Linked DNA regions of Zea mays. The protein of the gene in region 1 purifies or fractionates together with the protein of each later gene. This does not show direct contact. Links are inferred from orthologs where the notes say so. Each region holds a gene or a part of one and is shown on either strand. Other genes may lie near its edges.

Region 1 (4,585 bases):
TCCGTCGTCCAACGTCGAGGTTGAGCCCGAGCCCTGGGGTCGGGCGAGGCGGAGCTTCCTATGGCGCCCGAGGCTGAACTTAGCTGCTGTCAGCCTCACTCTGTCGAGTGGCACAACAGTCGGAGCGACGCAGGCGACGCTGTTTTCTTGTCAGGTCGGTCAGTGGAGCGGCGAAGTGACTGCGGTCACTTCGGCTCTGTCGACTGAAGAGCGCGCGTCAGGATAAGGTGTCAGGCGATCCTTGCATTAAATGCTCCTGCGATACGGTCGGTTGGCGTGGCGATCTGGCCAAGGTTGCTTCTCTGCGAAGACTGGGCCTCGGGCGAGCCGAAGGTGTGTCCGTTGCTTGAGGGGGCCCTCGGGCGAGACGTGAATCCTCCGGGGTCGGCTGCCTTTGCCCGAGGCTGGGCTCGGGCGAGGCGAGATCGTGTCCCTTGAGTGGACTGAGCCTTGACCTTAATCGCGCCCATCAGGCCTTTGCAGCTTTGTGCTGATGGGGGTTATCAGCTGAGATTAGGAGTCCTGGGGGTACCCCTAATTATGGTCCCCGACACTTCTCATCCCTGGCAGCAGTGGACTATGCCACACAGGGGAATATGACAGGAGGGGCCCAGCCTCGGGAGGTGCCGCGCACGACGGGGGTCACCTTGCTCCGTCTTTGCCTGTGATGGGAACGACAAACCCTAGTGAGGCAATGCGAGGCGAGTGAGTGGCACGATTAGGAGCAAAGTCGTGGACGCTAGGGCTTGGACTCGGAAAGGCTGCCACGCCGGCAAATCTCGGCGATGCGAAGGAGGGCGAGGAGGCGGAGCACGGAGAGAAGGTCCTGAAAGCAAATGCGCGAGGCAAGCCCAAGACGGCGGAGGCGGAAGAGAAGAGGCGTGAATGGCAGGTTAATTTCCTAAGAGTTTGAGTTTTTTTTTGCAAAACACATCCGCCAAACACGGGCGTGCGAGTAAACCATGTTAGGTTTTAATAACTTTGATTTGATTGTTACCGGTAACAAGGCACCTATGATGATTTTTATAATATCAAGACTTCTCGGTTCAGTCTGAGTGTTTTGAATGTGTTGAAAAGTGAGTCATCATATTACTTTTCAAAATACATGTCTGTGTGAAAATTTAAGATCTAGATAGCATTGCAGAAAACTGTAACGCCCCGTTTGGATTACTGGAATTGAATTCTATTCCAATAATAATAATTTAGGCATATATCAATTAAGATAATTCGTTTTTATATAAAATATATTTGTATACTATTATTAGCAAGATGTCCTACATATTTATGTGCTACATTTTTACTATAGAGGAGTGGAACGAAGAATGTCATGTAAGTTACAGAGTAGAAACAAATTCTACTCATGTATAAAATCATTTCCTATCCTCCACCCTATGAATTTGAGATAAGCTTATATCTGAACTTTGGAAAGTGGTGGAATACCAAATTCTAAACTAAATAAGTTGCTTTATTGAGTGAATTCCAATTCTTTTAAAATGAAGGATCCAAACGTCCTGGTTGCAAGCTAGTTATGCTCACATTCACCGGTCACCACAGATCGCGCCCCGACTCACGACTGGCTCGTTTATAACTCAAGCGGACTTTGTATCGAGCTAGGCATGAAACACGCGCCGCCGGTCGGCTCGAGTTAGCGGCTGAGCTCAAGCTGGGAACTAGGCTCCCTCGACCTCGGCTCGTCGACAGCCGAACCCATCGTCTCACGGACGCCGAACCCAGAAGCCGCCGACCCCTTTCCCGCCGCACGGATCCAAAACCCTAGCCCCTCCTCGGCGTTTTTCCCCTCCCGGCGACGGCGAGGCGGCGGAGATGATGCGGCAGCAGCAGCAGCAGCTTCCACCTCCGCCGCAGCACCCGCCGCCCCAAGCCTCCTCCGCCGCCGGTGGCGGCGGCGGTGGCGAGTTCTACCGCGGCCCGCCGATGCGGCAGCTGTCCGCGGCGTCCTCCACCAATCTCCCGCCCGACTACGCCGCACACCCGGCCCCCCCGTCACAGCAGCAGCATCAGCCTCCTTACGACGGTAACAGCTAAACATTTCATTCACTGGTAGTCGTTGTTCCCTCCATTCTAGGGTCAGGGGAAGAGTAGGTAGATACCTATATTAGGTCGCAGGTATTGCCTTATTACTGCCAGTCCGTATAAACTCAAGAGTGTGAGATCAACTGCCACTTAAAAGTTAAACATACCGGGAGTTTCTTGAGATTTAACTGTAGACTTCTTGGTCCACCTTTGCATATCATAACTACACAAATCACATTGTAATTTTGATTCTCTGCAGCTTATGGTGACAGTTTTGGTGCTAAAAGGATGCGGAAGCCTGTCCAGCGACGAACAGTGGACTACACAAGCAGTGTTGTCCGTTATGTTCAGGTTGTTTGGATTGCTATTTTTTTGTTTGGATATCCATAATCATACAGAGTTTATTTCGGAGGACTCTGGACTTTGATCCTTTAAAGTTTATATTTTTTCTGTTTCTGTTTATATCTTAGTTTGAATTTGTAATGCATGCTTATCATCTGTTACATGCAGTTTCCATCCCATCAGTAGTGCTGATTTCCACTATGTACAATTGCAGGCTCGCATGTGGCAGCGGGACGCTAGGGATAGATTCACATTGCAGCCAACTCCAGCAGCTGTCCTGGATGTATGTTCCTTCACTCGTAATATGTTAAAAAAATGGAGCGGCAGTTGCCTATGCTATGAGTATTGATTGGTTTAAGCTTTAGAAGATAGTACCTATGTTTGATAAATACCTTCATCTGTATGAAATCACGAGCAATCAGATGTTATACGAAATTCTTACGGATTGAAGTGTTAAATGTGAATCTAGCATACAATGGACACAATACTATTGTGCACCATAATAGTGAAGTTCGACAAAAAGTGCATACGAATAATTATCATGCTAGTAATTCTTCAATTAATCTTAACATGGATAGTTACTCTATGTTAGTATGTTATGCAGAAAATCCCGTTAATCCTAATAACCAATCAAAGATCTTGATGACTAGTTCTTGTTACAAACTTATTTTGATAGCTTTAACGAATTGCAGATGTTACCTTCTGTCGCATATCCAGACAATCCCTCAACAAGTTTTGCTGCCAAATTTGTACATTCGTCAATCAATAAGAACCGGTGCTCTATTAATCGTGTCTTGGTGAGTAACTGAGTATTGTAACCTATTTTTCTGCTTTCTCAATAATCCACATTGAACATTTCGCTGTTATGTACTTGTATTCTCAGAAGTCAAGCAACAGCTTGCTGTTGGTTATACATAAATCCAATTAGCAATACCAAGCGATTATACATAAATGCAATTAGCAACACCAAGGGGAAAAATTAGAGTAGACAGTAGAGATACACCATAGAAGAAACTTGAGCTAAGAGAGGGTCTGAGAGACACATTTATCCTACGTGATTGCAGCAAAATACCATCCTTGAAGCCTTTCTTCCACTTACTGAAATCTGATTGCTTTCCTTCAAAACTATTATTGTTTCCTGACCGCGAAGCTAGCTCTATCAGGATTTCTATGAAATGTAATTCATCTCTAGGTGTATATTTCAACCATATGGATTATGGATTACTATTGTGAAGTTGTTATTTTTAAAAGCCTGTAACTGCTTACAGTTGGATAAATATGCTCATTGATATGCCATTCATGATTAACAATAATACAATATTAGAATCTACCACTTATATCCTGGGCTGATCACTAGTCAGAATTTCAAAATTTGCAATGCTACATGCAAATTACTATTGCATTTTGGTAAATTCATCCAAGCCTTGCCTTGTGATCTTGGTAAAAACTGCTACAAATGAGCATTTATTCTTTTATGCATTAGTACACTCAATGATTTCAAGTCGAGCGACTTGCTAGTCGACACACCTGGGCGACTAGGCGACTAATCGCGATTAGGACGACGACTAGGTCGACTAATCGTGGCTAAGGCAGCAGCAGATTGAAGAGGGGATTCAAGAGGGGGGGACAGATCAAGAGAAAGGTGCAGAGGGGATTCAAGAGGGGGGACAGATCAAAAGAAAGGTGCAGTGATTGAAGTTACCGTCGGTTGATGTACTCATCTTGGTGCTAATGGCTGCTGGGCCGCCGCCGCTGCAGACTGCTGTTGGGCCGCCGCCGTCGAGGACGGTGAGCTGCTGACGCCGAGGAGGAAGGTGCAGGGCTGCCGCCACCGAGGAAAAGGGTGAGCAGGTGAGCACATTGAGGAACAAGGAGGGGGCAGAGGGTACCCACCGGTGTTGCACAGGGAGAGGTGAGCCGCCGCACAGGCACAGCCACCTGAACAGGAGAGAAGAGCAAAAAGCCACCGGAACAGGAGAGGAGAAGGTGACCTAAACCCTAACGTGTGTTTTACTGTTACACTAATGGGCCCAGCCGTCCAGCCCATATCCCAAACAGGCCGAAACAGGAGCCCTGGAAAATTAATCGTCCCGACCTAAACTGGACGACTAATCGTGTTTAGTCGACGACTAATCGGACGACCGGACGATTAGTCGAGCTGATCGGGTCGGCCTCCCTAGTCGTGTTAACAGGACCGACTAGTCCGACT
Region 2 (3,816 bases), on another chromosome or scaffold:
CCCGCATAGTGCGGGAAGCCTACGGCACTGGGTACGCCCTTATGTACTGCCTTATGCTCTTACTATTGTTTACTTACTAATGTACTGATTTTTTATTGTGTTTGTAAGGATTATCTATGTACAGATAGATTTCTATAGTTTAAGGTTTTTTGTTTCATTTACTGCAGCAGGTTCGCCCCTTAAATCAAGTTCTTTCTTCTATGGCTGATCAAGAATTGGGTCTGCACATGGAGAACGATGTTACAAGTGGTGGTGACCTCCAAGAGGTCTATACTGTTGATGAATTTGAAGTTCGTATTATGGAGTTGGGAAAATCCAATGGACGTTGGGAGACAAGGTCCACCATTCCGATGCAATCATTTGAAAACGCTTTAACAGTGCGCATCGTTACCTTGCAAGTATGTATGTCTTCTACACTTGTATGGATACTGCACTCAAACTAAAATTTTATTTACCAGAATATTATTGATTTTCGCCTCAGAACACATCTACGAAGGAAAATGAAACCCTGATGGCCATTGGAACTGCTTATGTTCAAGGGGAGGATGTTGCTGCTAGAGGACGGGTGCTTCTGTTCTCTTTCAGTAAAAGTGAAAATTCTCAAAATCTGGTGAGCATTATTGGACTTCTTTGGATAAAAATTTCTTAGTTTCCTACTGGCATTTCAACTAACACTCTTTATCTGGTTACCTGTTAATTTGTTTCAGGTTACCGAAGTCTACTCAAAAGAGAGCAAAGGTGCTGTATCTGCTGTTGCCGCTCTTCAAGGTCATCTACTGATAGCTTCTGGTCCTAAGATCACACTGAATAAATGGACTGGCTCTGAATTGACTGCCGTTGCATTCTATGATGCACCATTGCATGTTGTGAGCCTGAACATTGTAAGTATTGTAAATACTCTTTATTTATATGTGGTGCACGAAGGGGCTTTCATTTGAGTTGGTTAGGTGGTCTGAGTAGCACTCAGATCCTGAGTTCGAATCCCAGTGGGAGCAAATTTCAGACTGAGGTTAAAAAAGGTCACTCGCTGGTTCCTTTAGTTGTGTGCACACATGGTGGACTGACCTATGGGGGGGGATCCTCGTGTAGGGGTTGGAAGGGTTCAAAGCATGAGTACCAATCTGACTTGTAGGGGGCACATCCTCATGCTGCACGGGGGTAGCTTTCGTGACCTTTCTTGGTCGAGGCTCCGATTGAGGTTCTTAATATAGGGGGTGTTTGGGACTACTTTGCTCCACCAACTCTAACTCTGCTCTACCAACTCCATCATAGAGCAGCTCTTCTCTAGAATTGAACAATATTTTGATGTGTTTGGCTTGTAACTCAACTCCATCTCTAGAAAATTGAGCTTTTATTAAAAAATGTCTTTGTTATTCTTACGCTGATGTTGTATTTAAGATTTTTTTTTCAAGTATAAAAATATTATAATGCAACATGTAGGCGATTTACAGGTTGGATATTGATCGATTTCAAGTATAATTTTTTTGTAAGCTATTGTTTTTCTCGAAAAGCGCAGGAGAACTGCACTCCAATATATTATATCAGAAGGGAAGGGGAAAGAACCCCAGATACAAAAACCCTCCTTACAGAGGATGGAATTGGTGAGGCGTTCAGAGGTTAGCTTGTGGTGGAAGATCCACTTGCCGGTGACCACGTTGGTGCCTGGTGGAAACGGCACCAGGTCCTAAGTGTGGTTGGCCAGCAGGGTCACGTACTCCTCCATGGTGCGACGCTAGTGAGGCTCGGCGCGAACGGAGGATGGAATTGGTGAGGCGTTCGGAGGTGCGTCGAACGTCAGGACCAATCGCTCGACGAGGCGGAGAACGCCGGCCGCCCGACGAGTCACCATCGGGTGAATGTGGCTGGGTTCACGGTGGATGGCTACCGGGTGGTACACCAACGGCTTAGTGTGGGAATGAGCCGGAGGGGTAGCGGTGACCGAAGTAGTGGGCCGCTCGCGACTGTGGTAGACGATGGTGGGGTCGTCGAAGCGAGCCAGGCGAGGGCAGACGACGGGGCCGCACCGCTCGTCGACGGGGTCACACGTGGCGTGGGTAGGGGTGCGAGCGGTGGTGTCTTGGCTGTGTGTGGCACTGGTAGAGGCACGAGCCGGGGCATCTGGATCGCGCGTGGCGTGGGTAGAGGCGTGAGAGGTGTCTGAATCGGGAGGGGCCGTGGTGGAGGGACAGGATCAGACTGATGGAGGGAGTCGAGATCGGCAGGTGGGGAGGAGCCAGCAAGGGGAAAAACATCTTTGTCAAAAACAACGTGACAAGAGATGAGGATGCGTTGGGATAGCAAGCACAACCGAAAACATGAAGGTGGTCATAGGAGGAGGCGGCTGTGCATATAGGGCAAAGTGGTGAGTGGGGTGGCTCACCGCCTTCGAGGGGAGGCGATTGAGGACATGGCTCACCGCCTAGTGGTGGTGCGAATGATGCGTTCGGCCAGGCCATTATTGGGAGAGATGTAAGGGCATGAGAGACGCAACTGAACGCCGTGGGAGAGAAAGAATTAGCAAGAGGCGGAGTTGTTGAACTCGCGGCCATTGTCACACTGGAGGGCATGGACCGGGCCACGAAACCAGGTGGAGGCCCAGGCGAAGAAGTGGGTGTGAGTGGTGAACGTGTCGGACTTCAACCGAAGCTAGAAAGTCCATAGAAAATGAGAGAAATCATCCAAAATCACCAAGTAGTATTTATATTTAGAAAGACAGTACAAGAGAAGCCCAGAGATCACAATGAAGATCAAAAGCCTGCTCAGCCCGAGCGGAAGCAGTAAATGGGAGACGAGTATGGCGACCTAACTGACAAGCATGACAAAGACCCTCAAAATGCCCGCTACTACATGGAATATCTAAACTACTGGTGAGATTGGTCATGACGTCGGTCCTGGGTGGCCGAGACGACGATGCCAAGTGGTAGAGGAGATGGTGGAGGCCAGGATGGGTGGGGAGGACGCGCCGGTAGAGGGGCCCCGAGATGTCACATCGTGCGAGAGGGTCCTGGTGGCTAGATCCTTCACAAAGAAACCAAAAGCGTCAAACTCAATGGAATAAGAATTTTCGGCGGTGAACCGACGAACGGAAAGAAGGTTGTGAGTAATATGTGGAGCTACGAGAACACTCTTGAGATAGAACGGTCCTTGGAGAACCGAGGCACCTATTGAGGTGACCGGGAGAGTGGAACTGTTCCAAACAACGATCGAGGAGGGATGGGAAGAGAGGGGGATGGGAGCGAGAAAGCGTACCCGCGGTGGAGGTGGTGTGGTAGGATGCACCAGAGTCAACCACCTATTCGGAGGGGAGTGGTGTCATCACCATGGTGCTGAAAGCAGCGATGAGGGAGGCTGAGTCGCACCCTCCAGTCAGCGGGGACCAAGATGTCGGGGTGGGGGTCCTCAGAGGCGGGAACGAGGGCAGAGCCGGAGTCGTCGGAGGCACGCCATAGGGGGACACCGTCAGGAGGGCCGGCGTAGGAGGACGAGGCAGGGAGGCACCCGGGGCCTGGCTCGGCCACATGGAGAACAACGGCCACGCTCGGCCGCCACCCTGACTGGAGGGACCACTTCGGGTGGAGCAACCCTTGCGGAGACGACACCTCCGTCGGTGGTGGGAGCCAGACGAGGGGCCGCAGGGACGACAAGGGGAGGGTGGATAGGAGCCCCGGTTGACGAAGGGCGAAGGGCCTGACCCCCCGCAGGTGCATGACCACCGGGAAGCTTGCTGTAGAGAGTGGGCGCGAGTGTCTCAGTCTCCATGGTGAGCTCCTCGAGGAGAAGCTTGTTGCGAACGGCGTGGAAGGTGGGGAAGGTAGC

The links.
Region 2: the proteins of WD repeat-containing protein 33 (region 1) and probable cleavage and polyadenylation specificity factor subunit 1 fractionate together in Arabidopsis thaliana (co-fractionation; 3 studies listed by BioGRID, with this or other methods). This does not show direct contact. The link is inferred for Zea mays from reciprocal best matches to the Arabidopsis thaliana genes FY and CPSF160.

What each region holds. Positions count from the first base shown.
Region 1 is NC_050098.1:151,286,277-151,290,861, forward strand, and holds the start of WD repeat-containing protein 33, read left to right. Parts: upstream 1-1,724; 5' UTR 1,725-1,824; coding exon 1,825-2,035; intron 2,036-2,293; coding exon 2,294-2,385; intron 2,386-2,590; coding exon 2,591-2,659; intron 2,660-3,068; coding exon 3,069-3,173; intron 3,174-4,585.
Region 2 is NC_050097.1:87,239,725-87,243,540, reverse strand, and holds part of probable cleavage and polyadenylation specificity factor subunit 1, read left to right. Parts: intron 1-167; coding exon 168-398; intron 399-481; coding exon 482-610; intron 611-707; coding exon 708-881; intron 882-3,816. UniProt on the Arabidopsis thaliana protein: CPSF plays a key role in pre-mRNA 3'-end formation, recognizing the AAUAAA signal sequence and interacting with poly(A)polymerase and other factors to bring about cleavage and poly(A) addition.